Oryctolagus cuniculus: one gene and its partners. The protein of the gene in region 1 interacts with the protein of each later gene in a biochemical or structural test. Links are inferred from orthologs where the notes say so. Each region holds a gene or a part of one and is shown in the gene's direction. Other genes may lie near its edges.

What was found.
Region 2: the proteins of ubiquitin-conjugating enzyme E2 D3 (region 1) and ARIH1 form a complex in vitro, tested with the Homo sapiens proteins (2 studies listed by BioGRID). The link is inferred for Oryctolagus cuniculus from reciprocal best matches to the Homo sapiens genes UBE2D3 and ARIH1.
Region 3: the proteins of ubiquitin-conjugating enzyme E2 D3 (region 1) and SMURF2 form a complex in vitro, tested with the Homo sapiens proteins (12 studies listed by BioGRID). The link is inferred for Oryctolagus cuniculus from reciprocal best matches to the Homo sapiens genes UBE2D3 and SMURF2.
Region 4: the proteins of ubiquitin-conjugating enzyme E2 D3 (region 1) and RNF8 form a complex in vitro, tested with the Homo sapiens proteins (4 studies listed by BioGRID). The link is inferred for Oryctolagus cuniculus from reciprocal best matches to the Homo sapiens genes UBE2D3 and RNF8.
Region 5: the proteins of ubiquitin-conjugating enzyme E2 D3 (region 1) and TRIM33 form a complex in vitro, tested with the Homo sapiens proteins (2 studies listed by BioGRID). The link is inferred for Oryctolagus cuniculus from reciprocal best matches to the Homo sapiens genes UBE2D3 and TRIM33.
Region 6: the proteins of ubiquitin-conjugating enzyme E2 D3 (region 1) and RNF216 form a complex in vitro, tested with the Homo sapiens proteins (2 studies listed by BioGRID). The link is inferred for Oryctolagus cuniculus from reciprocal best matches to the Homo sapiens genes UBE2D3 and RNF216.
Region 7: the proteins of ubiquitin-conjugating enzyme E2 D3 (region 1) and RNF14 form a complex in vitro, tested with the Homo sapiens proteins (2 studies listed by BioGRID, with this or other methods). The link is inferred for Oryctolagus cuniculus from reciprocal best matches to the Homo sapiens genes UBE2D3 and RNF14.

Annotation. Positions count from the first base shown.
Region 1 is NC_091438.1:28,033,138-28,036,782, reverse strand, and holds ubiquitin-conjugating enzyme E2 D3, read left to right. Parts: upstream 1-1,242; 5' UTR 1,243-1,415; coding exon 1,416-1,859; 3' UTR 1,860-3,145; downstream 3,146-3,645. UniProt on the Homo sapiens protein: Accepts ubiquitin from the E1 complex and catalyzes its covalent attachment to other proteins. In vitro catalyzes 'Lys-11'-, as well as 'Lys-48'-linked polyubiquitination.
Region 2 is NC_091443.1:110,729,969-110,734,079, reverse strand, and holds the start of ARIH1 (E3 ubiquitin-protein ligase ARIH1), read left to right. Parts: upstream 1-1,311; 5' UTR 1,312-1,639; coding exon 1,640-2,014; intron 2,015-4,111. UniProt on the Homo sapiens protein: E3 ubiquitin-protein ligase, which catalyzes ubiquitination of target proteins together with ubiquitin-conjugating enzyme E2 UBE2L3.
Region 3 is NC_091448.1:14,171,750-14,175,249, forward strand, and holds part of SMURF2 (E3 ubiquitin-protein ligase SMURF2), read left to right. Parts: intron 1-725; coding exon 726-921; intron 922-2,965; coding exon 2,966-3,069; intron 3,070-3,500. UniProt on the Homo sapiens protein: E3 ubiquitin-protein ligase which accepts ubiquitin from an E2 ubiquitin-conjugating enzyme in the form of a thioester and then directly transfers the ubiquitin to targeted substrates.
Region 4 is NC_091436.1:132,279,698-132,283,197, reverse strand, and holds part of RNF8 (E3 ubiquitin-protein ligase RNF8), read left to right. Parts: intron 1-2,958; coding exon 2,959-3,087; intron 3,088-3,500. UniProt on the Homo sapiens protein: E3 ubiquitin-protein ligase that plays a key role in DNA damage signaling via 2 distinct roles: by mediating the 'Lys-63'-linked ubiquitination of histones H2A and H2AX and promoting the recruitment of DNA repair proteins at double-strand breaks (DSBs) sites, and by catalyzing 'Lys-48'-linked ubiquitination to remove target proteins from DNA damage sites.
Region 5 is NC_091438.1:55,985,968-55,989,467, forward strand, and holds part of TRIM33 (E3 ubiquitin-protein ligase TRIM33), read left to right. Parts: intron 1-814; coding exon 815-878; intron 879-1,334; coding exon 1,335-1,494; intron 1,495-2,923; coding exon 2,924-3,273; intron 3,274-3,500. UniProt on the Homo sapiens protein: Acts as an E3 ubiquitin-protein ligase. Promotes SMAD4 ubiquitination, nuclear exclusion and degradation via the ubiquitin proteasome pathway. According to PubMed:16751102, does not promote a decrease in the level of endogenous SMAD4.
Region 6 is NC_091450.1:39,630,311-39,634,482, reverse strand, and holds the start of RNF216 (E3 ubiquitin-protein ligase RNF216), read left to right. Parts: upstream 1-1,372; 5' UTR 1,373-1,535; intron 1,536-4,172.
Region 7 is NC_091437.1:29,528,012-29,531,511, forward strand, and holds part of RNF14 (E3 ubiquitin-protein ligase RNF14), read left to right. Parts: intron 1-701; coding exon 702-930; intron 931-3,500. UniProt on the Homo sapiens protein: E3 ubiquitin-protein ligase that plays a key role in the RNF14-RNF25 translation quality control pathway, a pathway that takes place when a ribosome has stalled during translation, and which promotes ubiquitination and degradation of translation factors on stalled ribosomes.

The DNA of each region.
Region 1 (3,645 bases):
CATGCTGTATGACTGTTGTGAGGATTAAATCAAACACCCTATGTTAAATGCCACAGTGCCAAGCCCACAATATGGATTCAGTAAGTACCAGCTATTATTGTAATCCCTGTTAGAAGGGTGATGATACGTCATAGGACTTCAAAATATCTTACAGCAAGCTGGTTCTTTCTGGCTTATAATCAAGCAATTTCACCACCTATGCAGGAGATGATTTGTAGTTGGTGCATGTAAGAATTGAAATGAAAATAAATCTAAACAAAATGTGCTATTAGAGCTCATTCATCTGTCTTTTAGAATTTTCGTTGCTTCAGGGAAAACTAAATGGAAGAGGATGGCTAAGGAATCCTCCTTTGTTACTTGTATGAGTTAATGCATCTAACAGGAGGCTGGTTCTTAGTGCCAACATCTTGGTAATGCTTTGATAACCCCTCATGTGCTGAAAAAGTCAGGATGTTTGGTCCTGGTGGAGAGACTGGCAATGACTGAATCGAGCTCCTCAATATTGTTAATTTGGCAGCTAATATTGGCAAGTCTCTCAGTTTTATAGAACTAATTTTCTTCCACTGTAAATGGGCACTCATTATTTATGTCTGGTCAAGGATTCTGAGTGTTCTAAGATCTCTATATTTCAGGCCCTAATTCCTGAATAAGCTGAAAGACTGATTGGTGCATACAAAATGCCTTTGTCAAATCTTGTTTATCTCTGCGGGTCACATTAGATGTTGTGACTATTTCTCATGCTGGTATAGCTTGATCCAGTTTCTGGCTCATTACATTTGTTTCCTTACGCCAATAATTTTTCTCTCACAGCTGAAATGCTCTATTTGCTTCCACCTCACACCATTCTTGGCCAAATTTTCAGGGAATGAATAAGGTTGTGATATAGATCTCAAGTCTGCCACAGGCACCCAACTTCCAGGCAGGAAAGGAAAACAATGAATGTAGAAGAAAGAAATATGACTGCAGCAAGAGAAGGTAGAAACTGAATTTATCCATCTTCCTTTGCTTTCTCACAATGGAGCCCTTTGTGAAGTTAACTGCTGTTAAAAACAAATTGTCATGAAAAGAGACTCAGAAGGTAGGAAGACAAAGATCAATTAGAAAGCATACCGATTCAGTAGTATGATAAGCTAAATATTTGGAGAAATTTACTCAATATAAAATTCCTATCAAACTAAAACTCCACAGCATTTTTAACCAATATTCAAGAGTGAAGATGAAATTAAGATATTTTCGAGCCGTCCACGTCGTTCTCGCGATACCCGCCGCCTCCATACCAAGCGCCTGTGTCTGGCAGAGCCGGCGTGAGACCAAGAGACAATCCTTCCCCGCCGCCCGGATAATCAAGAGTTTTGGCCGGACCTCTGAGCATACACCGAGAGAGGGAGAGAGGAGCCAGACTAAAAGCACAGACTATGGCGCTGAAACGGATTAATAAGGAACTTAGTGATTTGGCCCGTGACCCTCCAGCACAATGTTCTGCAGGTCCAGTTGGGGATGATATGTTTCACTGGCAAGCCACAATTATGGGACCTAATGACAGCCCATATCAAGGCGGTGTATTCTTTTTGACAATTCATTTTCCTACAGACTACCCCTTCAAACCACCTAAGGTTGCATTTACAACAAGAATTTATCATCCAAATATTAACAGTAATGGCAGCATTTGTCTCGATATTCTAAGATCACAGTGGTCTCCTGCTTTAACTATTTCTAAAGTTCTTTTATCCATTTGTTCACTGCTATGTGATCCAAACCCAGATGACCCCCTAGTGCCAGAGATTGCACGGATCTATAAAACAGACAGAGATAAGTACAACAGAATATCTCGGGAATGGACTCAGAAGTATGCCATGTGATGCTACCTTAAAGTCAGAATAACCTGCATTATAGCTGGAATAAACTTTAAATTACTGTTCCTTTTTTGATTTTCTTATCCGGCTGCTCCCCTATCAGACCTCATCTTTTTTAATTTTATTTTTTGTTTACCTCCCTCCATTCATTCACATGCTCATCTGAGAAGACTTAAGTTCTTCCAGCTTTGGACAATAACTGCTTTTAGAAACTGTAAAGTAGTTACAAGAGAACAGTTGCCCAAGATTCAGAATTTTTTAAAAAAATGGAGCATGTGTATTATGTGGCCAATGTCTTCACTCTAACTTGGTTATGAGACTAAAACCATTCCTCACTGCTCTAACATGCTGAAGAAATCATCTGAGAGGGAGGGAGATGGATGCTCAGTTGTCACATCAAAGGAAGCAGCATTATTCTAGCAGCATCCATTCTTGTTTAAGCCTTCCACTGTTAGAGATTTGAGGTTACATGATATACTTTATGCTCATAACTGATGTGGCTGGAGAATTGGTATTGAATTTATAGCATCAGCAGAACAGAAAATGTGATGTATTTTATGCATGTCAATAAAGGAATGACCTGTTCTTGTTCTACAGAGAATGGAAATTGAAAGTCAAACACCCTTTGTATTCCAAAATAGGGTCTCAAACATTTTGTAATTTTCATTTAAATTGTTAGGAGGCTTGGAGCTATTAGTTAATCTATCTTCCAATACACTGTTTAATATAGCACTGAATAAATGATGCAAGTTGTCAATGGATGAGTGATCAACTAATAGCTCTGCTAGTAATTGATTTATTTTTCTTCAATAAAGTTGCATAAACCAATGAGTTAGCTGCCTGGATTAATCAGTATAGGAAACAATCTTTTGTAAATGCAAAGCTGTTTTTTGTATATACTGTTGGGATTTGCTTCATTGTTTGACATCAAATGATGATGTAAAGTTCAAAAGAATGAATATTTTGCCATGTTCAGTTAGAGTGCACAGTCTGTTACAGGTTGACACATTGCTTGACCTGATTTATGCAGAATTAATAAGCTATTCAGATAGTGTAGCTTTAATATGCTGCACCGTGATACTGGCAGCCCTGGAGTTCATAGATGGACTTGGGACCCAGCAGTTTTGAAGCGTGTATATGGAGTTTTAAGAAATTTATTTTCCAGGTGTAGCCCCATCTAACTAAAACTTATCTTCACCTTGTACACTTGACAGCTGATAAAAACATAACTTGGGAGTAATAATGGGTCAAAATTTACAAAATAAAGTACTGTTTTGGTGTGGGAGTTGTCATGAGGCTGTGTTGAAGTGACTTAACTATGTGGGATATTGAGTATCCATTGAAATGGATTTGTTCAGCCATTTACATTAATGAGCATTTAAAACAGATCATTTCAGGTGACTTAACATGAATGAATAAAATGCTATTGAAAAAAAAAAAAAGAAATTAAGATATTTTCAGACAAAGAGAAAATTTACCAACCACAGATACTCACTGGAAGAATAACTGAAAAAAATCTACTTCAGGTAGAAGATTAAAAGTATTATTAAACTCAATGGTTAAGTCCCCACTTCAGACACCTGTGTTCATATCAGAGTGTCTGGTTTGGAGTTACAGCTCCACTTTCAATTCCAGAAACCTGTTAATGCACACCTTAGGAAGCACTGGTGATGGCTCAAGGAGTTGGTCCCAGACTGAGTTCAAGGCTCTTGACTTTGGCCTCACCCAACGCTGAATGCTGTGGGCATCTGGAACGTGAACCAGCAGATAGAATATCTCTCCTGGTCTGACT
Region 2 (4,111 bases), on another chromosome or scaffold:
ACCCAACAAGCCCCTGCCACTTCACTGGTTTCAGAACCCCACCAAACTTTGATGAACCCCAAGTCTAGCAGGCATCCTGGAGCCCTCCCCACCGCCAGACCCGCAGCCAATGGTGCTGGCCCCCCTTTCAAATTAAGGCAGAATCCGGTCTCTTCTCATCACCTGCCCTGCCACTGCCCGAGCTCAAGGCCCTGTGGTCACCTGGACTTCTAAGACGGGCTCCTAACCGGTCTCTGCCTTCACAGCCCATTCTGCACGCAGGAGCCAGGGTTCTTTTCGGGAACACAGATCCCAAGTTCACTCTTCTAAAACCCTGCAACGCTTCCCATTGCAACAACGGCCGGCTTCCACTGCTTCGCTCCTGGTCCTTGTGTTTTCCCCATTTCTCTGCTGTGAGCAGGGTTGGGGGAAACCAGCAAAGGTGTAACGGGAGTTACCAAGGGGGCGACACGGGTTGCTGGGTGACACCGAGCGCCTGGCGTTTGATAGGATGTTCTGGGCTGCGCGTGTTTCCCCGGCTCTCCTGTTTACAAAGACGCCAAGTCCACTGGCAGGATGGCATCGGAGCCGTGCCAGCACCTCGCCAGTGCACCTGCTTGTCCTGCTCGCTCCCTCGCACCCCGCCTGCCCTGGGCGCGCAGGACGCAGGTGCCCGCGCCCCCACCGGCGCCGCGTTGTGGGGCGGTGCCCGGCGTACCGCACCGGGTCCTTACAAAGCGTTTTGACGCCTGTCCAGCAACCCCCCCCCAAGCACAGGGAGCGCCTTCCGTGGCCTGCCCGGCCCCTTTGGCTTCGGGCCCCGTCCGGCGCGCAGATAGCGGAGCCCAGGCGAACTCGGAGCTTCGGGCCCCAGGCAGCGCCCGCCGCGTGACGTCACCGTCGGGGGCACGGGCGCGAGCTGCACCTGCCGCACAGCGTAGGTTCCACGCGCGCGCGCGCGCAGCATCCCGCGCCCCCCAACCCCCACAGTTCAGCGGCCCGGGGGCCCGGGGGGCTCGAGTCCAGAGCCGCGGCTGCCAGGAGTCACGCCCGGTCCCCCTGGACCGCGCAGGGGACGGACGGGTCCCCCGCGGTCACAGCCGCCGCCGGGGCCACGGAGCCGCAGCCGTCTCGTGGGAGGCGCCCCCACCCCACCCCCACGGGCCCCGGCCCCGCAGAGCCGCTCGGCCGCACCACGGACCCTGGGGCGCCGCGGCGCTCGCCGACCTGGCGGGCCGGGCCGCGGGGTTTCCCGCACACGGCGCGCAGGGGCGGCGGGGCGGGGCGCGGTGACGTACGGGCGTGACGCGCGACGCAGCGCGACGCGGTGACGCACGCCCCTTTGTTGGCTCAGTAGCGGCAGCAGCGGCCGTGGAGGTGGCGCTGGGGGCTGTTTTCTCTCGGAGGCCGGAGCGGAGCGGCGTCTGACTGAGGCGGGCGGCCACAGGCCCCTCGCCGCCTCCCTCGCCGCCTCCCGCGCGCCGTCCCCGCCGCCCGCCGCCCGCCGCCAGCCGCCCGCCGCCGCCGCCGCGCCGGGGAGGAGCCGCGGCCCGCGCGGCCGCAGCCAGGCCTGCGCCCCGGACACCCGCCGGAGCCGGAGCGAGAGCCGGGGCCTCGGCGTCCCCGCCCTCTCCCCGCCTCGGCCAGCGTCCGCCGCGCCATGGACTCGGACGAGGGCTACAACTACGAGTTCGACGAGGACGAGGAGTGCAGCGAGGAGGACAGCGGCGCGGAGGAGGAGGAGGACGAGGACGACGACGAGCCGGACGATGATAACCTGGACCTGGGCGAGGTGGAGCTGGTGGAGCCCGGGCTGGGCGTCGGCGGGGAGCGGGACGGACTGCTGTGCGGGGAGACGGGCGGCGGCGGCGGCAGCGCCCTGGGGCCGGGCGGCGGCGGTGGCGGCGGCGGCGGCGGCGGCGGCGGCGGGCCTGGGCACGAGCAGGAGGAGGACTACCGCTACGAGGTGCTCACGGCCGAGCAGATCCTGCAGCACATGGTGGAGTGCATCCGGGAGGTCAACGAGGTCATCCAGGTGAGCGTGGCCGCCGCGCGGGCCTGCCGGCCGCCGCCGCCCCTGCCGGGGATGCAGGGTGCGCGGGCGGGCGCTCGCCGGCCGGGCCGGGCCGGGCCGGGCCGGGCCGGGCCGGGCGCGGGGAGGCGCGCGGGGGCGGCGCTTCCCGGCCCCGGCCATGGCGCAGGCCTGCCGCCGCCGCCCGGGGCCTCCGGCTCGCGGCCGATGCCTGCCGCGCCGGGCCCGGCGGCCGCGGGCTGCCTCCCGCGCGGGGCGGGGCGGGCGCGGGTGCGGGAGGAGGAGGAGTGGCGGGGGATCGGCCCGGTCCTGGGTGCTCCGGGCCGGTCTGGGGAGGGACTAGGGCAGGCCCGCGAGCAGCTGGGTGTACGGTTGCCCCAAGCGGGCACGAGTCAAAGGAGAAACGGATCCGCCCGGCAGGCCGAGCGCCTGCCTGCTCGGGGGAGGGGAAGAGGCGCGGGTGGGCCCTTTCCGACGGCGCGGCTGCTGCTGGCGGCGGTGACGTCCTGGCTGGCTGCAGGCGAGCGCCGGGGCCGCTCCGGCCGGCCGCACACGCGTCCCTGCGGCTCGCCGGGCAGCCCCCGAGCGCAGGGCGTCCCCCTGGACGGGGCTCCGTTTTGTGAGGTTTTCTGTGTCTGAGCTCGGTGCTCTCCTGCTCCGTGGTCAGGAAGCGAGGCTTGGCCGAATTCGGTGATCGCGGCTCCTTTAAGCCTGTGCATCGGGTTTTGCAGGTGTTTTTTTTTTTTTTCTTTAAGGAAATCAAAACTTTTTATTGAGGGAAAAATCGTGGTGAGGCGGCAAGGGATGTGGTTGCAGAATAAAAATGCCTTGATCCGGTGCGGCGTTCCGAAGACGCCGGCTCCCTGCGCGAGCAGCAGTTGCTGTTGCTTTCCTGCCTGTCCCTCGGCACTTTTTTAGAAATCCCTCAGGCGGCTCGCTGGGTCCCCGATCAGCAGTGTGTCGTGGCCTGTGTCCTGACTCCGTTTCCAGCGGACCCCGTGGAGTAGTTTAGTAAGCACCAGTCTCAGAGTAGCCCCGTCTTTGAAGGCAGCACTTCCCGTTCTGAATAACAGGGAGTCTCGTATCTAGTGCTGTTCTTCAACAGTTGGGATCCAAGAAGGAAGCCGAACGGTTTTAGGTACAAATTTACTGCTTTTTTTTTTTTTTAATTCCACAAATAACGATAGTTGAAATACTGGGCCACCGAATTGAGAGCTTGCTTTTTTTACCTAAAGAGAATTTTAGGAATTTAAAGTGAAACTTTATTTACAGCTGTCATACAAAATCTGTTCTCAAGCTTATTGCCTGGCCTTCTGCAATTTTAATTAGCTTTAAAAAACTTGTAGATATTTGTTACTTAGTTTTCTGATTTTTTTTTGAAGTCTGTTTTTCCTGTGGTTAAGTCTCTTCTAGTTTTCTCAGCTGTGAGGCTTGTGTTAATTACCAAAGGTCCCAATCAAGTTCTTTATGTCACTTCTGGAAAGAAATGTGACCAGTGCATGTGATAGCATTCTTTTAAGTGAGAGAGAGTAAATGCTGATGGAGTGAACTAATAAGACCTACAGGATACCAGGGACTTTTTTTCTTTTTTATGTGTCCTACTTTTACCTTGTTTCCATGCCTGGTGTTTTGAAAGAAAACTTTCATCGTCTGCCTTATTGTAAGATCGGTTTTAAATAGGATTCCTGAATATACCTGGTGTTGTATACTCATAAGTATCTATCCCTTGTTCAAACCTCCTTCTTAGAAATAGCAATAAAATCGAAGGGCAGAGTGTTTCTGTGACCATTTTTTCTCCAAATGGTATACTTACCTAGGTCTCAGATGGGCTTTGGCTATGTTGCAAGTTCATTTTATTAATAGATGTAGACTTTAAAAGTTATGCAAGTAATAAATCCACATTGTGAGGAAAAAAACAGTGACTAGGCAAGAAAAATAAAATGACAAAATAAGCCTTCCGCTCAGAGAGAGAACACTAAACTGAACTGTAGTTACCTTTCCAGACCTCGGGATAGCTGCGCGGAGTTTCCAGTCCCGGTGGAATCATGCTGTGTGTTCTGTTTTCAGTGGAGGAGAGAGGGCAAAAACAAAGCAGTCTCT
Region 3 (3,500 bases), on another chromosome or scaffold:
CATTTGAATTAAGTACTTCATTATATAATGAAGTTCTAAAATGTTCTTAGGTGCCAGGAGAATAAACATATTTGGACAAAGTACCTTTATTTTCATATTTTCTAGCCATGTATATGTGGCTAGAAGTCACTTGTGCACAACGATACGAGCATACTTAATGCAACACTGAAAGTGTGCACCTAACAGTTTGCTAAAATGGTACATTTTATGTATTTTTCCACATATCCAGACCCATACACCACATGCAGTCTCTTGATAAATGACTTAGGCTTGTTTGTAAAGTGCTCACTTCTCTATGCCAGTAACGTAAGTGAGATCTACATTCTGGTGGTCTAAACTGTAGCAGTTATAGAAGGAGTCCCTGCCAAGTTGTGGGTTTAGCTCTTTTGGAAAGACAGACTCTAGATAACTAGCTGTATTTGGCATATGCTTGGATTTTAAAATGGGTGATGGTAAATTATGTAGAAGAAAAGGGAAACAGTATTTGAAAAATTTGTTTCCAGCAGCTGTATAAAACTTCGTTATCCAATTCTGTCAATTCATATGGCCCATGAGAGGTAAACTTTGGAGTCGGTTTATTGTTGCCAAAAATACCAAGCTGGTGTATGTCCTAATAAGGCTTGGGCAATGATACAGTTAGACTTGTTTTACAATATGATGCTATTTTAGATGTATAACTGCAATATTTATTTTAAAATAGTTTAATAATATCTCTTTACTTTTAGCCGGCAAAACCAGTTAAAAGATCAACAGCAACAGCAAGTGGTGTCATTATGCCCTGATGACACAGAGTGTCTGACAGTCCCAAGGTACAAACGAGACCTGGTTCAGAAACTAAAAATTTTGCGGCAAGAACTCTCTCAGCAGCAGCCTCAGGCTGGCCACTGTCGCATTGAGGTTTCCAGGGAGGAGATTTTTGAGGTAAATTTTACAAGTCTTGTTTTAAAACAAAGAAAAGTTAAATTTAGCATTTGACTTTCTGCTTTCCAACAATACTTTTTTGGAACTCCTATCTCTTATAGAAGAATTTTCATTAGCTTTTAATTGTGGGAGATGAAAACAGTATATTTGGAGAGATTTCATAAGTAAGATAAGCTATTAAATGGGATGAAGAGTGTCACAAGTTCAGCTGGTTCAGTTTTGTCTCTGTGAATGCTTGGTGAATTTTTAAAGGTCACAGATATTATCCATCCCTTGCTAATTCTTCTGAAAGCTAAAGGTCGGTCTCTCTCTCTCTCTCTCTCTCTCTCTCTCTCTCTCTTTTAAAGATTTATATATTTGAAAAGCAGAGTAATGCGGTGGTGGTGGGGTGGAGGAGGGTGATCTTCCATTCACTGGTTCACTCTTCAGATGCACCAGGGGCTGCATCACACTGAAGCCAGAAGCTTTATCTAGATCTCCCACATGGGTGGTCAAGGCCTAAGCACTTGGGCCATCATCAGCTGCTTTCCCAGGCACATGAGCAGGGAGCTGGATCAGAAGTAGAGCACCTGGGACTCAAAATGGTACTCATAAGGGATGCTGGCATTGCGGTGACGCCATAACATCTGCCCCAAGGAGGACTAAGTCTTTTGTCTGATTATTATTGGGATACCATAGTTATTTTATTATATTTTAAAGGCTTAAAAGCAACATTTATCAGAATCAAAGACCTCCAGCCAGAGTGAAATGAATGGAAGAAGGCTGCAATAGAAGCAGAAGCCCAAAGGACCCCATGGCACTGGGTTTTTTAAGTACAATTTCAAAAGAAAAAAAATTGACAGATTGGCATTCAGTTACCAGGCAGGGACAAAACCCATCAAAAGACTTGATTTACAATCCTTTATTGTATCTGGCTTGTTCATGATAAAATAAAAAGCCATCCAGAAGGGTGGGATAAGTAACTTGTTTTCATAATAAACTGTGAGCTCAGGAATATGCAATCACCAATCCCTTGCTGAAATTCTCATGGTAAATTTGGAGATTCTGAAGGAGGGAGGGTGGACATTTTGCACTTGCTAAAGATAACCTTTTGGGGGGAAGCCTCAAATTCCACTGGGACCACCCTGACTGCCTATTAACCCATCTGACTCATCACATTCCCCCCTCAACAAGAATGGGCCCTTACATCTGTTAGGGGGACTGGACGATGATTGCTTCGGCTGCTTCATGTTGAAAAGGGGCGTCGTTGGGAAGGGCAGTCAAGACAGGGTTCCAGCTGGAGGCGGTTCTCTAGGGGGATGCAGTTCTCCAGGGGGATGCAGTGCCAGCTTGCAGAAACTGCTTCTGTCCAAGGTTCCATGTGCATGGCCACCTAGAATTTTACTTTTTCAAATCTGGAGAAAACAAATCTAACAAGTAGTTTTATCTCCCAGGATCTAAAACTGAGGACAGAGTCTTTTTTTTTTTTTTTTTTTTTTTGACAGGCAGAGTGGATAGTGAGAGAGACAGAGAGAAAGGTCTTCCTTTGCCGTTGGTTCACCCTCCAGTGACCGCCACAGCTGGCGCGCTGCAGCCGGCGCACCGCGCTGATCCGATGGCAGGAGCCAGGAGCCAGGTGCTTTTCCTGGTCTCCCATGGGGTGCAGGGCCCAAGCACCTGGGCCATCCTCCACTGCACTCCCTGGCCACAGCAGAGAGCTGGCCTGGAAGAGGGGCAACCGGGACAGAATCCGGTGCCCCAACCGGGACTAGAACCCGGTGTGCCGGCGCCGCTAGGCGGAGGATTAGCCTAGTGAGCCGCGGCGCCGGCCCCAACTAGGTTTTAAATATTTATCAAATGAATTGCTTTCAGTATGATTAAGCTTATACCCATTGTTTCTTAAAATTCTGTGACGTTTAAAACACTTGGAGTTTACCACTTGATTTAGTGAACATTATTTCACTTTATTTAAATAAAATTATGTTTTGTAGGCAGAATGTAAGAGTAAAGATTTAAATAGTTGTAGGCTAAAGGCATGAAATAATATATTTAAATTTTTTTTCAGGAATCATATCGGCAGGTTATGAAAATGAGACCAAAAGATCTGTGGAAGCGATTAATGATAAAATTTCGTGGAGAAGAAGGTCTTGACTATGGAGGGGTTGCCAGGTAAAGACTTGCTTGTCAATTAGTGATGTATGGATCTTTGTACTTGATTTTTTTTTTAAGATTTATTTGTTACTTGAAAGAGTTACACAGACAGAGAAGGAGAGGCAGAGAAAGAGTTCTTCCATCTGCTGGTTCACTCCCCAATTGGCTACAATGGCTGGAGCTGCGCTGATCCAATGCCAGGAGCTTCTACCAGGTTTCCCATACAGGTGCAGGGGCCCAATGACTTGGGCCATCCTCTGCTGCCTTTGCAGGCCATAGCAGAGAGCTGGATCGGAAGTGGAGCAGCTGGGTCTACAGTCTTGGACTGGCGCCCATATTGGATGCCGGCACAGCAGGTGGCAGCTTCACCCACTAAGCCACAAAACAGGCCCCTGTACTTGATCTTTATACTTGCAGATTTAAGTTACTTTCTGGGATGTAACTTTTCT
Region 4 (3,500 bases), on another chromosome or scaffold:
TCTAGTCCTGGTTGGAGCGCCAGATTCTGTCCCGGTTGCTCCTCTTCCAGTCCAGCTCTCTGCTGTGGCCCGGGAGGACAGTGGAGGATGGCCCAAGTGCTTGGGCCCTGCACCCGAATGGGAGACCAGGAGCACCTGGTTCCTGGCTTCGGATCGGCGCAGCACACTGACTGTAGTGGCCATTTGAGGGGTAAACTAAAGGAAGGAAGACCTTTCTCTCTGTCTCTCTCTCACTGTCTAACTCTGGCTGTTAAAAAAAAAAAAAAGATAAAGTGCCTGCTTATGATGTTCATATTCTAATAAAGGGGAAGGGAAAAGTAAAACAAGATAATTTTGGATCATGGTAACTGCATGCTAATAACATGAAGAAATACAATGGGGGAGGGGAGCAGATAGCAACAAGACCTGAGGCGCTGAAACTTGAAAGGTGACAAAGCACCGCATAAAGATCTGAGAAGTGAGTGCCCCAAGCCAAGTGGACAAGGGAGAAGGCTCCCAGGTCAGTGGATGTTGGAGCGGGAGGTGACAGAATGAAGAGAAGGCCTGATGGCTGAAACAACTAGCGTCTGGGCTGTGCATGGCACTAAGGGAAAGGCATGAAGGCGGTCAGGACATTGGCGGCTTTACGGCTTTGGGAAGAAGTTTGGATCATTGAAAGATTTTAAAGGAAGAAAGGAAGTTACCTGATTTAAAGTTCTTATTACCACTCCAGCCGGTGTGTGTGTGAACAGAGTTAAGGAGGATGAGAACAGGAACAAGAAGCCCAGTGGTTTGGACTTGGGTAGGGGTCATGGGGATAGGAATGAGTAGGCTGAGATGTGTTTGAGTCACTGCCATAGAATCGCTGCCAGTTGAGATCTGGGGCTGAGGAACAGATCGATCAAAGAGGGCTTGTGGGTTTGGGGCTGAGCAGTTTGTATAGATGGCAGTGTCGGTTACTGAGATGAGAGTTTGTGGAAACCTAATAGATTAGGTCAGAGAGAGTCACGGTCCTCAGTCTGAGGGACAGAGGAAAACAGGCGTGAATCTGAAGATTTTAAAATCGATAAAGAGTAGTTTTTCAAAAACCACAGGTTTTAATTTAATGTTGCCAGCTACGTTTACAATGTGGATCATTAAGGAGGTGGTTTATGCACTGAGAACAGCAAGCATGGAATTCTAAGCCTAGATGACAGAAGAGTTTCACTTCCCACCTTCGCTGGGCTGTGTGAACCAGACAGGTCAGTCAGGAAAGCATGACAGTTGGGAATTAGCGTTCTGTTCAGCCTTGTCCCTGTGGGAGACAGAGGACTTGGACTCAGTGCAGAAACTCGGATTGGATTATGACTGAAGCTACACTCAGACTGTTAGTAGAAGCTTTCTTGAGAGCTTTGTCTTTGGCTACATCCCATTTCAGTATATTTGTGTCTTGGATGAAGGTACAGAAAGCATATCAATTTGGTGAATGATTTAAAGCTGCAAGGAATATTGAGTATGTCTGATCTGATGGCGGATTAAAAATCAGAAAAGTCTTGACAAGCCGGTGTGATAGGCTGAACTAACAAGATGAAATTTAATAGGGATCAATGTAAGGTCCTGCACTGGAATCCAGATTTTTCCAACTAGTCAAGTACAGGCTGGAAGAAACATGATTTAGCATAGCAGTTCTTGGGGGAGGGGAAACATCTCTAAGTTTGAGGATATCCTTCCAGGGCACTGGATCTGCTTTGAAAGCTAATGCCATTTATATGCTGCAGTGGTAATATCAAGAACTGGGAAAGTGATGCTTGGCCTTGATTATGTAATGGAAATTAAGTTTATTTTTCTTAATATGGCATCCAGGTGTCGCTCCCCCTCTTCGTGGAGGAACGACACTAAACCCTGCCTAGGCTTCATATCCGAGTCATGGCACCATTATGCCGCTCCCCCTCTTCGTGGAGGAACGACACAGGACCCTGCGCTGTTCTTTCGTCTGCTCGGCCCTCCCCGGGTTTGCTGCTGGTTCTTCCCGGGTTGGCTACTGTCCCTTCCACCTCCGTGGAAGGGCAGTTCCCCCTGGCCACATTCCCCACTTCCGCAGGGGAGCGGCACACTGCCAGCCGGCTCTCTCGGGGGCTGCACAGGTGTTCCCCTTAGATGTTCCTGGTGCATGCCGTCTCTCTCCTCCTTTATAGTCCTCCTCCGCCAATCCTAACTCGGCTGCCCACACGCCGAGTACGCTGCTCTCCTCCAATCAGGAGCGAGTCCTACAGTTTATTGGCTGAACTGGAGGCAGCTGTGTAGAAGCTGTTTTCTTCTCTCCCAGCGCCATATTGTGGGAGAGCAGATGCATAGAATAAGTCTTAATTCCAGTAACTCAGTCTAGTCCGGGTTGCTCCCCACATCCAGGAATAAAGATAAGCTAGGAGTCCTTTCACAGATCAATTAGAATGACAGAGATTCAAACCCGTACATTGGAGGAAGGTTAAAGTAACTAGGTTCCTGAGCCAGGAAGAGAGAAGACTTGGTAGATAGCTGTGACTTGGAAAGGGAGTTGGGGATTTTCTGATAGTGCCCAGGACAGAGCCTCAGCCAATGGATGGAATGTATAGGGAGAAAGGACCACTGGAAAAGCAGGGGGCCTGTCTCATCTAAACGCTGTGGTTCTTGGCTGTGTTTTAGATTTGTTGATTGGGATGTGTGGAAATAATTCCTTAATGTCATGGGTGATTGAACCAGATGACCTTTCCAGGACCTCCTAACCTTTACATTCCATGGTTAATCCCTTTCAGCTTCTTCTTTTTGTAACTTCTTTCCTTTTTCTGTGTGCTGGCTTTGTGGCAGCTGAAGAGGAAATCGCCGAGGATCTATGTAGGTTTTGCAGGAATCCGGGTTTCGTAGGTCAGGATCTGTGTACCACACTAGTTGATAAGCTTGTAGAGGGCCTCCCTATTTCGCATAATGATTGATTGTGTCTCTTCATTGTTGTTACCTTCCTAGGTGTCTCTGGGACGAGGATTTAGTGTCACATACCAACTGGTGTCAAAAGTCTGCCCTTTGATGATTTCCAGAAAGCACTGTGTTTTGAAGCAGAATCCTGAGGGCCAGTGGACAATTATGGACAACAAGGTACAGGAAATCACAGAAAGAGGACTAAAGATTTTTAAAATTTTTAATTTATTATTAATTTTTTTTGCATAGATAATTTATGAAGCAAAATGCAAACGGTTTACCTGCTGCCCTCCCACCCCATTCTCTTTCCCAGAGGCAACTACTGCTCTGTTTTGCTAGAGATTAGATGATGCTAAAATAATTTCCCATGACTTAGATTGAAGTTGGTGCCCTTAAAGTGAACATTTGCGTTGGAGGCCGTAGGTCCTATTCCAGAAACTAGATTAAATTGCTGTGGGAATTGACCCTTTTGATGCAAGATCCAGAAACCCTAGAATCTTCTACAGCTTTTGGAGTTCACCAGAGGGAGGAGAAAGAAAGTGAGCTGATTGCATTAAGCTCCTTTCTTTCCCCACTGCTTTAAATCAGAG
Region 5 (3,500 bases), about 28 Mb from region 1:
TCTTAATTTAAAATAATTAATTAACTTGAGATAGATCACTACCATTTGCTAACTCACTGCCCACTGGGGCTGGATCAGGTAGAAGCTGGGAGCCAGGAACTCAACCCAGCTCTCCTACATGTGTGTCAGGAACCCAGCTACTTTAGCTTACTGTTGTTGCCAGGATCCACATTACCAGGAAGCTGGACATAGGAGCTGGAGCCTGTTTTTTTGTTTTTGTTTTTTTTTTAAACAGGCAGAGTTAGACAATGAGAGAGAGACAGAGAAAAAGGTCTTCCTTCCGTTGGTTCACCCCCCAAATGGCTGCTACAGCCGGCATGCTGCACCTATCTGAAGCCAGGAGCCAGGTGCTTCCTCCTGTTCTCCCATGCGGGTGCAGGGCCCAAGCATTTGGGCCATCCTCCACTGCCTTCCCGAGCCACAGAGCTCATAGCAGAGAGCTGGACTGGAAGAGGAGCAACCGGGACAGAACCGGCGCCCCCAACCGGGACTAGAACCTGGAGTGCTGGCGCTACAGGCGGAGGATTAGCCTAGTGAGCCCCGGCACCAGCCTGGAGCCTGGTTTTAAGCCCAGACACTCTTACATGGTATGTGGGCATCTTTACTGATAGACTAAATGCCCATCCCAAAGGAGGATTCTGGGATCAACTGAGAGAAAGCTGGTTAATGGTTATACTTGGCATCCCTAACTTTGCAGCTGGCTCTGATCTCCAGGAATTTCTAAGTTAGGGTTATAACCTTGAGTTCCTTAGCTACTAAGTAGAATTCTGAATCTTCCTATATGGCTTGATTTTTATTTTGACTTACTTTTTAGGTTTATCCAATTCTCACACACCTGTGAGACCTCCTAGTACCTCTAGTACTGGCAGTAGAGGCAGGTGAGTATTTATTATTAATACATATTTTTTTCTTTTTATTAAGAAAACTTCAAATATATCTAACAAAATGAACACCCATATACTTATCATCCACCCCTAAGATATCTTACTTTGCATATGCTAATACTTGAAAATTCAAAAAAATCCTGAAACACTTCTCATGCCAAACATTTTAGATAAAGGATTCTTAACCTGCATGGGCCTTGTTTAGTAGATTCCTTAAGTGGTTTACTGTAAGTGCCTCAGACCAGAAAATGTATTTTTAGAAAGTCTTTTGGAAGTTTGATCTGTATTTTCAAACAGTTTGAATCTAGGTCAATACCATATTTCTGTTAGCCACATTATGAGGTGTCCTTATCTTCTATGAGGTTAATTGTTGTCTTCACTTTAATATGGTTATTTTCTTATATAGTTGTTGTACCATATTTGTGACCTTTATTTGTTGTTGTTAATTAGCTGTGGGTCATCAGGAAGAACTGCTGAGAAGACAAGTCTTAGTTTCAAATCTGATCAAGTGAAGGTCAAGCAAGAACCTGGGACTGAAGATGAAATATGTAGCTTTTCAGGAACTGTAAAACAAGAAAAGACAGAGGATGGCAGGAGGAGTGCCTGCATGGTAAGCACCCTTGTGGTCTGGGAAGGATTTCCCAAAGTCACTTCACTGATTCTTACGTCTCTGAGTCTCTTAGACTGAGAAGAGGTCCCAGAGTCTGTCAGCTTCGCGCCTGGCATACTCCATATATATACCTCTTCTCCAACTCGACTTTGTTGGTAAAAGGCAGCTGTAATCAGAAAAGGTTTAATTGTATTATGTACTCATTTGGAATTATCTTTGAATTTCTGTTTAGTCAAGTTTTTTGATTGTTTGTTTGTTTGTTGCCATGGTTATAAATCGGGTTCTATCGTATTCTGAATTTATTTATCATTCTCTGTATTCACATTGAATCTCAGGCCACAAAAGAGCCTTAGCTGTTCACCTGGTCTTAGGAGCTCAGCATTAATGTTGCTGACATAAAAACAGTTTATTGATCAGTTTATTGTGATGGGAAGATTGTCTTTTTGCTTACAAATTATTAACCATTCTAGAGCAAATGGAAGATTTCATAAAATTTAGACTATAGGATAAAGAAAGACCCACGCCTCTCTTTGTTTAGCAGTTTAGATTTTTGTTATTTCTTCTTCCTCAGACTGGCACGTGGGAATTTCATCTCAATGTATTAGCATATTTAATACTTTATAAGTGCGTATTTATTTATTTGAAATGCACAGTTACAGAGGAAAAAGAGATCTTCCATCCGCTGGGTCACTTCTCAAGTGTCCATGATGCACTGGGCTGAGCTAGGCCAAAGCTCCATCCAGATCTCCCACATAAGTGTCTTCTTCCACTGCTTTCCCAAGCACATTAGCAGGGATCTGGATTGGAAGTGGAGCAATTGGGAATCAAATCTTCTCTGATAAGGGATTCCAGCATTACAGGCAGGGACTTAACGCACTACGCCACAATGTCGCCCCTATTTGTGTGTATTTTTGAGAGAGAACAAAAGAGCATGAAACAGAATTATCCTTGTGTTTGGAACAGTGTCACCTCTTGATACAGAACTTGATTTGGAAAATACCTCCATGAAAGTGGGTGCATAAAGGTGTGGAAGATTTCCTTTACATTGTCACAATATTCCTACATCAGTAGAATGAAAGGGGGATTATTATAGAATGCTGCTGAAGTGCCATGAGCAAATTCTCGTGTGAAAAATAGTATCCTATAATGAGAATAACCCTGTGCTCACTTCTGAATCAGTGTGCTTAGTTTAATTAATTTCCTTGTTATCTGAGTGAATCAATATTAGAGGGGCAGACCCCATAAGATTACATATTAGCATGCTTAAATAAATTTAAGGTTATTTTTATTCCTTTATGTCACTAAAATGATTGACAAAATAATTTTATGTCACCTTATCTATATGGATATTGACAGAACTTTCAAGTAAATATTGTGAAACAATAAGGATTAAATGGTTCTTCAAGAATTTGTCATTGTTTTGTTTTAGTTGAGCAGTCCTGAGAGTAGTTTGACACCACCTCTCTCAACCAACCTGCACCTAGAGAGTGAGTTGGATACATTAACAAGCCTGGAAAATCATGTGAAAACCGAACCTACAGATATGAATGAAAGCTGCAAACAGTCAGGGCTCAGCAGCCTGGTTAATGGAAAGTCCCCTATTAGAAGCCTCATGCACAGGTCGGCAAGGATTGGAGGAGACGGCAATAGCAAAGATGATGACCCAAATGAAGACTGGTGTGCTGTCTGCCAAAATGGAGGGGATCTCCTATGCTGTGAAAAATGTCCAAAGGTCTTTCATCTAACTTGTCATGTTCCGACCCTTCTTAGCTTCCCAAGGTACCAGTAAAATAATTGATTGTTTCTGTATCACATTTTCTTTATTCATTCATCTGATTTTTGTTGTTTCTTTTCATAGGCTAGAAACAGTAGGAAATTGTTCCAGGTGCATGTCCTTTACAAGTGTGTAGTATCTCTATAAAATGGGGAACCTCTTAGTTCTTTGGTATTACCTTCCAAACAAACTGTAAATAGAACAATAAAATGTCTAGAATCTTAAGGGTAAC
Region 6 (4,172 bases), on another chromosome or scaffold:
TAAGGGATACCAGCGTGGCCACCACACAGCCTGCAGGTCTGTCCGTTTGCCACCGCCTCCTCCCCCTCCCCGACCGTACCAGTCTGCCAGCACGGTCTGCCATTTAGACTCCTGCAGTAGCCCCAGACCGGCCTTCCTGCTTCTCCCCGGCCCTCTCTACACTCTCCCAGCAGCCGGAGACACCACTCACGCCCCTGCTCCCCGCGGGGAACACCTGGATGCTGCAGCCCTGGGGGGGAGGGAGGACACATGCCTGTGCAGGGCCTCTGCCCCTACTTTTATTTACTTGAACGAAAGAGTTAGGCAGAGACAGAGAGAGAGGTCTTCCATCTGCTGGTTCATTCCCCAGATGGCCTCAACGGCCGGAGCTGAGCCGATCCGCAGCCGGGAGCCAGGAGCTTCCTCCGAGTCTCCCACATTAGCAGGGAGCTGGGTCGGCAGTGGAGCGGCCAGGCCTCAAACCAGCGCCCGTATGGGACGCCAGCGCCGCAGGCCGGGGCTTTAACCCTCCAGCCCCTCTCTCCTTGTTTTTTAAGTATTTTATCTGACAGGCAACGTTACAGTGAGGAGGGGAGACAGCCATTTCCCACCCGCGGGCCCACTCCCAAAATGGCGGCAGCGGAAGCCAAGAGCTCCATCCGGGTCTCCCACGTGGCCGGTAGGGGCACGAGCACTTCCGGGAAGCAGGAGAAAGGAATGCTGGGTCGGAAGTGGGGCCGCCCGGACTCGCGCGGGAAGCTGAGTGCGCCACAGCGGCCCCTCCCCGCTTCCAGATCATTCTATGGAGGTGTTCTTAGCCCGGGTGGTCCCCACGGCTCAAGCCCTCACCGCCTTCAAAGTTTTGGCTCAAACACCTGCTTTTCTGGGGGAAATGGCTTTCTCCAGCCACCCACACTACCCCTTCTCATTGCTTTATTTATTTATTATTGCTTTATGTATTCCCCCCACCCTCCTTGGGTTGAATTGCGGCCTCAACACACCCTGCCTGAGTCAGTCTTGTTAGTTAGTTCTTGGCCGCCCAACTAAAACGTCACAGTATTCCTCAAGTATGGCACCCGCCATTCCTACGAACAGCGCCCAGCACGCACGCAGCCGTCAGGGCACTTCGCGAGGAAGCGATGGGCGACTTACCAAAGGCGGGGGCTGCAAATAAGCGGGCACCTGGCCCTCCCACGGCCACCTGCCCTCCAATCCCTTCCTCTCCACCGAGAGGGGTCGAGCAGGGGGCCTCCCGTCCTTTCGTCCTCCCGCCTCGTGGGGGAGTCGAGGCCCCGCGGGCGGCCCGCCGCAGGGGGGCGCGGCTAGGCGGCCCTCTCTATGGTCTCTCCTCCCCAGCGCCCCGCGTGCCTCTATGGTTCTTCCTGTCAGCAGTCGGGAGGGGGCGCTGTGCGCAGGCGCGAGGTGACGCCGCGGCAGGGCCGGAAGGAGCGCGGCGGCGGCGGCGGTGGCGGTGGCGGACCTGTCGGCGGTAGAGCCAGCTGACTGAACGCCGCGGCGGCGGGCGGCCGGGCGAGCTCGCGTCGCGAGCCGGCGAGGTGGGTGGCGAGGCCGGCTTGGCCGCGGGGCCTGAGGCGAGGCGGCCTGTCTGCCCGCCGCCCGGTGGGAGTCCCTGTGGGAGTGGGGGCGGGGGCCAGGGCCGCGAGGGGCTGGCTGTGAGGGCGGCCGGGCCGAGGGGGCGCGGGCCGGGGTCTGGGCCCGGCTCAGGACGCCGCCGAGCCGCTGGAGCCGGGGCTGGAGCGGGCGGAAGGGCTGCGGGCGTCCGGGCGCCCCGCTCCCGCCACTTCGGGAAGTTTGCGCGGGGCGGCCCGCGCGTCTGTTTCGGGGGTCCTCGCTCCGCCGGTCCCGGGCTGGAACCCGCGGGGTCCGTGCAGCCGCGCGCGCGGCCTCGGCCGGCCGGAGGAGGCGGACCGCGACTTTGAACCCTGCTCCCCGCAGCCCCCGGGTGCCGACCTTTCGCCGTCGGTCCCGGGATCTCGGCGGAAGTTGGCGCCTGTCACCGAGCGGGGCCGGGGTCCCGGGGCGGCGCGGGGCGCGCGGGCGGCCCGGCCCCGAGACAGCTCTGGCCTCTGCTGTGGAGCCTGGCGGCCGCTCCGAACCGGTGCCAGCTCCAGTCGTCGCGGTCGGCGACTTGGGGGCAGTCGTCCTTGGGGATTCGACCGTGCAGACAGAACATCGTCTCCGTGCCCTGGAAGGAGGCGGGAAGAGGACAGGGAAAAGCCCCCGGCCTCTTCCCGACTTGGGGAGGTCGCCTAAGCAGTGGCCTCCGTGGCTTTGCCTTGTGTCCGGTTAATTCACTGTGCCCTGTGGGTAGGGCATGGTGGTGAGTTGGAGGAGCAGGCTGGCGGGCTTAGGGCAGAGTTTGCACCCCTGCGTAACCCTCGCTAGACGCTGCACACAGGGACCCCTCTGAAGAGAGAGCTGTTGAGTGGCTCTGTGAGTTAACCCGCTGCAGGCGTCCTGTACGGGCACCAGTTGGAGTCCCGGCTGCTCCACTTCCGATCCAGTTCCCTGCTGTGGCCTGGGGAAGCAGCAGAGGGTGGCCCAGGTCGTCGGGCCCCTGCACCTGCGTGGGAGACCCGGAGGAGTCTGGCTCCTGCCTCCCTGCTCAAACCCTGGCTGTTGTGGCCATTTGGGGAGTCAACCAGCAGATAGAATCTCTTTGTCTCTTCCTCTGTCATTGTAACTCTAACTTTCAAATAAGTAAATCGTAAAAAAAAAAAAACCTTTGAAGGCCTTGTAGTAAAGTCTAATGATTTGGGTTCTGACTCGGAGACTGAAAGCATACAGATAGGATGGGCGGGAGAGGAGTGTTTGCTGACGGGAGGATGAGCTAGTATTGATTACGCTCACTAGTGGAGTCTTGGTTTACTTCAGGCTAGAGTTTTTTTTTTTTTTTTTTTTTTTTTTGGACAGGCAGAGCTAGAGAGAGACAGAGAGAAAGGTCTTCCTTTGCCGTTGGTTCACCCTCCAATGGCCACTGCGGCCGGCGCACCGTGTTGATCCGATGGCAGGAGCCAGGTGCTTCTCCTGGTCTCCCATGGGGTGCAGGGCCCAAGCACTTGGGCCATCCTCCACTGCCTTCCCCGGGCCACAGCAGAGAGCTGGCCTGGAAGAGGAGCAGCTGGGACAGACTCTGGCCCCCTAACCGGGACTAGAACCCGGGGTGCCGGCGCTGCAGGTGGAGGATTAGCCTAGTGAGCCGTGGCGCCAGCTAGTTTTTTATTATTATTTGAAAGGTGTAATGACAGAGATCTTCCATCCATTGTTTTTGCCAACTGGCTGGGGCAGGCTGAAGCCAGGAGCCAGAAACTCCATCCTGGTCTCCTACGTGGGTGGCAGGTGCCCAAGTACTTGGGCCATCTGCTGCTGCTTTTCCAGGTGCCTTAGCAGGGTGCTGGATTGGAAGTGTCGTGGGACTTGAACAGGCGTCTGACGTAGGTTGCCAGTGTCACAGTTTAACCCACTGCAGCACACTGCTGGCCCCATTATCTTTATTTAATATATTTTTTTAAATACCTATTTGAAAGGCGTGCTTACAGAGAGGAGAGACAGATCTTCCACCTGCTGGTTTACTACCCAGGTGACAGCAACAGCCAGGATTGGGCCAGGCCAAAGCCAGGAGCTTCATCCGAGTCTCCTACATGGGAGGTGGTAGGGGCCCAAACACTTGGACCATCTTCCGCTGCTTTCACAGGCCGTTAGCGTGGAGCTGGATCATAAGTGGAGCAGCCTGGTCTTGAACCTACTATGCACAACACTGGCCTCATTGTCTATTTCTAAGGGGAAGAAACTAAGATGTTGAAAACAGCTTACTTGGTCACATTGAAGGTCAGGGTCAGGACTTGAATTCAGTGTTTCCGGAGTCTTTCACTAGTTGTCCATCTGTACCTGTGAATGCTGCCTATTCACAAAGTGTTGCCAAAGTGGCAGCGTTGTGCTTGGCACCGTGCTGTGTCCTGGGGCGAGAAACATGAATCAAACAGATGATCCCGCCTTCTTGGAAGGTTTAGCATGGAGAGCCGTGGTGAGCAGTGTCCTGAGTGACCGAGTGACATTTCTACTGTGCTAAGTACTTTGGACAGCTGAGGGATGCTGTATGAGTTCACGGAGCGGGCGGCGGTGTACGGAGGGGAATAGGAAAGGGTTTTCTCTGAGGAAGTGAAGGGCTGAAG
Region 7 (3,500 bases), on another chromosome or scaffold:
AGTCAAGGGTGATGACTCAGCTAGTTGGATTCCTACCACTTATGTTAGAGACCTGGGTGTTGAGATTCCGTCTCCTGCCTTTCCTTCCCTCTCCCCCTTCACAGCCTTTGTGATCACTGGGTAAGTGAACCAGCAGATAGAAATGCTTTCTCTAGCTCTAGTTCTGTCTCAAACTTTTTAAAAATTTAATTATACAATCTGTTTAGTTTTTGACATATGTGTAGACAACCTCAGGCAGGATGCAGACTGTTACCACATTTTTAAAAAAAAAAAATTTAGGAATTTATTTGAAAGGCAGAGTTACAGACAGAAAGAAGCAGAGACAGAGTTATCATCCATCTGCTGGTTCATTCCCCAAACGGTCGCAAAAGATGGGGCTTGGCCTGGCTGAAGCCAGGAGCCAGGAGTTTCTTCTGGGTCTCTCACAAGGGTGCAGGAGCCCAATATCTGGGGTCATCCTCCACTGCTTTCCCAGGTGCATTATCCAGGACCTGAATCGCCACCTATCTGGGAAGCTGGCTCTGCAGGCCATGGTTTTAATCCACTGTACCACAGTGCCGGCCCCTGGGTTTAATTTTGAAGTGAGGTGGAGGTGTTAAATTGTGTGCTCATCTGGTTTACGCCAGCATCTGCAGCATCTCCTTAGGGTCAGAACTGGCTGGGGAGTCCTCATACCTGTGGCGTTTTGCATTTCCTTCCAGGTCAAGGAGCTGGTGGAAGCAGAGTTATTTGCCCGCTACGACCGCCTTCTCCTGCAGTCCTCCTTGGACCTGATGGCAGACGTGGTGTACTGCCCCCGCCCGTGCTGCCAGCTGCCTGTGATGCAGGAGCCGGGCTGCACCATGGGCATCTGCTCCAGCTGCAATTTTGCCTTCTGTACCTTGTGCAGATTGACTTACCATGGGGTCTCTCCGTGTAAGGTGACTGCAGGTATGTCTGAATGCATGGACTGAAACCGCCTATCCCTTGCTTGCCGTCAAAGCCCTGCGAGTCCAGTTCTTCAGCCTAGAGATAGGCATTCAACAGACATTTCTTTGCTGGTTACTGTCCTGGGCTCTGGGGATGTAGTAGTAACCAGAAGAGACAGACTCTCCTAAGTCCCTCATTCTTAGGGACTTGGACAGGCAGACAAGGTAAATAAGGACATTAGGTGGCGGTGAGTGTCAGGGAAGCCCAGGGAGTAAAGCAGAACAGCACTTGAGATGTTTTGAAGGCAAGGTCCTTGGGATTTTAGGTAGAAAGACCAAGGGCGCCCTCTGGCAGGTGGCCTAAGTAAAGACTTGAAGGTATGCATGTGAGGGGGGACATTGTAGAGTAAGAACAGTGAAGGGATTTCCTCTGTGAACGTGAGCATGGACTGTGTAGGGCCCGGGTGGCAGATGCAGGGCATATAAGCTTCCACTCCTGTATCCACTGCAGCTTCGATGGATCAGTCACCAATCACTTTCTTTTTTTTTTTTTTTTTTTTTTGACAGGCAGAGTGGACAGTGAGAGAGAGAGACAGAGAGAAAGGTCTTCCTTTGCCGTTGGTTCACCCTCCAATGGCTGCTACGGCCGGCATGCTGCGGCCAGCGCACTGCGCTGATCCGAAGGCAGGAGCCAGGTGCTTCTCCTGGTCTCCCATGGGGTGCAGGGCCCAAGCACTTGGGCCATCCTCCACTGCACTCCCTGGCCACAGCAGAGAGCTGGCCTGGAAGAGGGGCAACCGGGACAGAATCCGGCGCCCTGACCGGGACTAGAACCCAGTGTGCTGGTGCCGCAAGGCCGAGGATTAGCCTAGTGAGCCGCGACTAATCACTTTCTCACTGAGCCCAGAGAGGCCCAGAATCTTCCTACTGTGGCCCTTCAGAAAGGCACCCTCTGTTAAGTTGGCACAGGTGGTGAAACCTGTTTGCCATTTCTGATCTAAATAAGGAAATTTAGGCCTTTAGTGATGGTTTAACTGGGCTTTGATGGCTTTGTCTCTCAGACTGATAAGGATGATATGATAGTGATTTCACAGGTTATTCTCGAGATCCAGTGGCCTAAGTACTGCCACGCAGAGGAGTTGTACTTAATGATCTGATGCAGATATATCATTGCATATAGAAATCAAGAGTCAAGGTTAGAAACTTTAATAGTGATTTCACAGAAGCATTTTGTGTCAGTCGTGTCTGATAGAAACTTGGGCTTGTACTTTCTTTTTACTTTCATTCTTTCCTTTGATTGCATTTTGTGAAGTATTTAGCCTTGACAGATTGGGTATGAGAAACAAAGCAAAAATGGTTCTTGCTGTGGATAAGTTGAGAAACAGTGGGCTAAAATGTGTAAAATGGAAACTGTGTGTATTGTTATGATGATTAAAGATTGCCAGTGTCACAGAGCATCATTGTTTACAACAAAGTGCCCTGATGAGAGAGGGGAGTATAGCATTCTGCTTGCCGAGGACAGAGCCTTGTGAAGGGTAGGGGCAGGCCATGTTGGAAAGTATGAAATAATAACAGTTTCGTTATTTTGAGAACATTAGAGCAGAGGCCTTTGTCCTTAAGATGTGAAGAACCAGAAAAATGTTTTAATTTATTAGAGGGATAAAAATAACAGGGTTAAAAGCATCTGTGCTGTAGAAGTAGAGGAGACACAGGGCTGGCATTGTGGCGTAGTGGATAAAACTGTCAGCTGCAGTGTCGACATCCCACATGGACACCAGTTCAAGTCCCAGCTGCTCTACTATCCAGCTCTCTGCTGTGGCCTGGGAAGGCACCCGCATCAGAGATCCAGAAGAAGCTCTTGGCTTTGGGTTGGCTGAACTTTGGCTGTTGCAGCCATCTAGGGAATGAACCAGCAGATGGAAGACCTCTCTCTCTCTTTCTCTCTCTCTCTCTCTGCCTTTAAAATAAATAAATAAATCTTTAAAAAAAAAAAAAAGTAGAGGTGACAGAGCGATGGGAGTGCATAGCACACAGAAGGATTCAGAGAGGAAGGGAAAGACCACCGAGAGAATTTTGTCTCAGAAGTGTTCATTGCGGGCGGTGTTGTGGCATAGAGTGTTGAGCCGTGGGCACTGATCTGTGTCCCAGTTGCTCCACTTCCAATCCAGCTCCCTGCTAATGGTCTGGGAATAGCAGCAGCAGATGGCCCAAGTGCTTGGGCTCCTGCCACCCATGTAGGGGACCTGGAAGAGGCTCCTGGCTTCAGCTTGGCCTTGCCCCGGCTTTTTGGGCCACTTGGGGAGTGAACCAGCAGGTGGAAGGTCTCCCTGTCTCTCCTCTCTCTGACTTCCAAAAAAATAAATAAATCTTCAAAAAATATTCACTACTTTAGGGATCAGCGATTTGGCGCAGCTGGTTAAGTTATCGCTTAAAACGCTAGCATCCCATATCAGAGCCCCGGTTTCAGTCTTGGCTGCTCCTCTTCTGATTCAGTTTCCTACTAATGCACCTGGGAAAGCAGTGGAAAATGGCCCAGCCTTGGCCTTTGTGATCCTTTGGGAAGTTAACCAGCAGATGGAAGATTATCTGTCT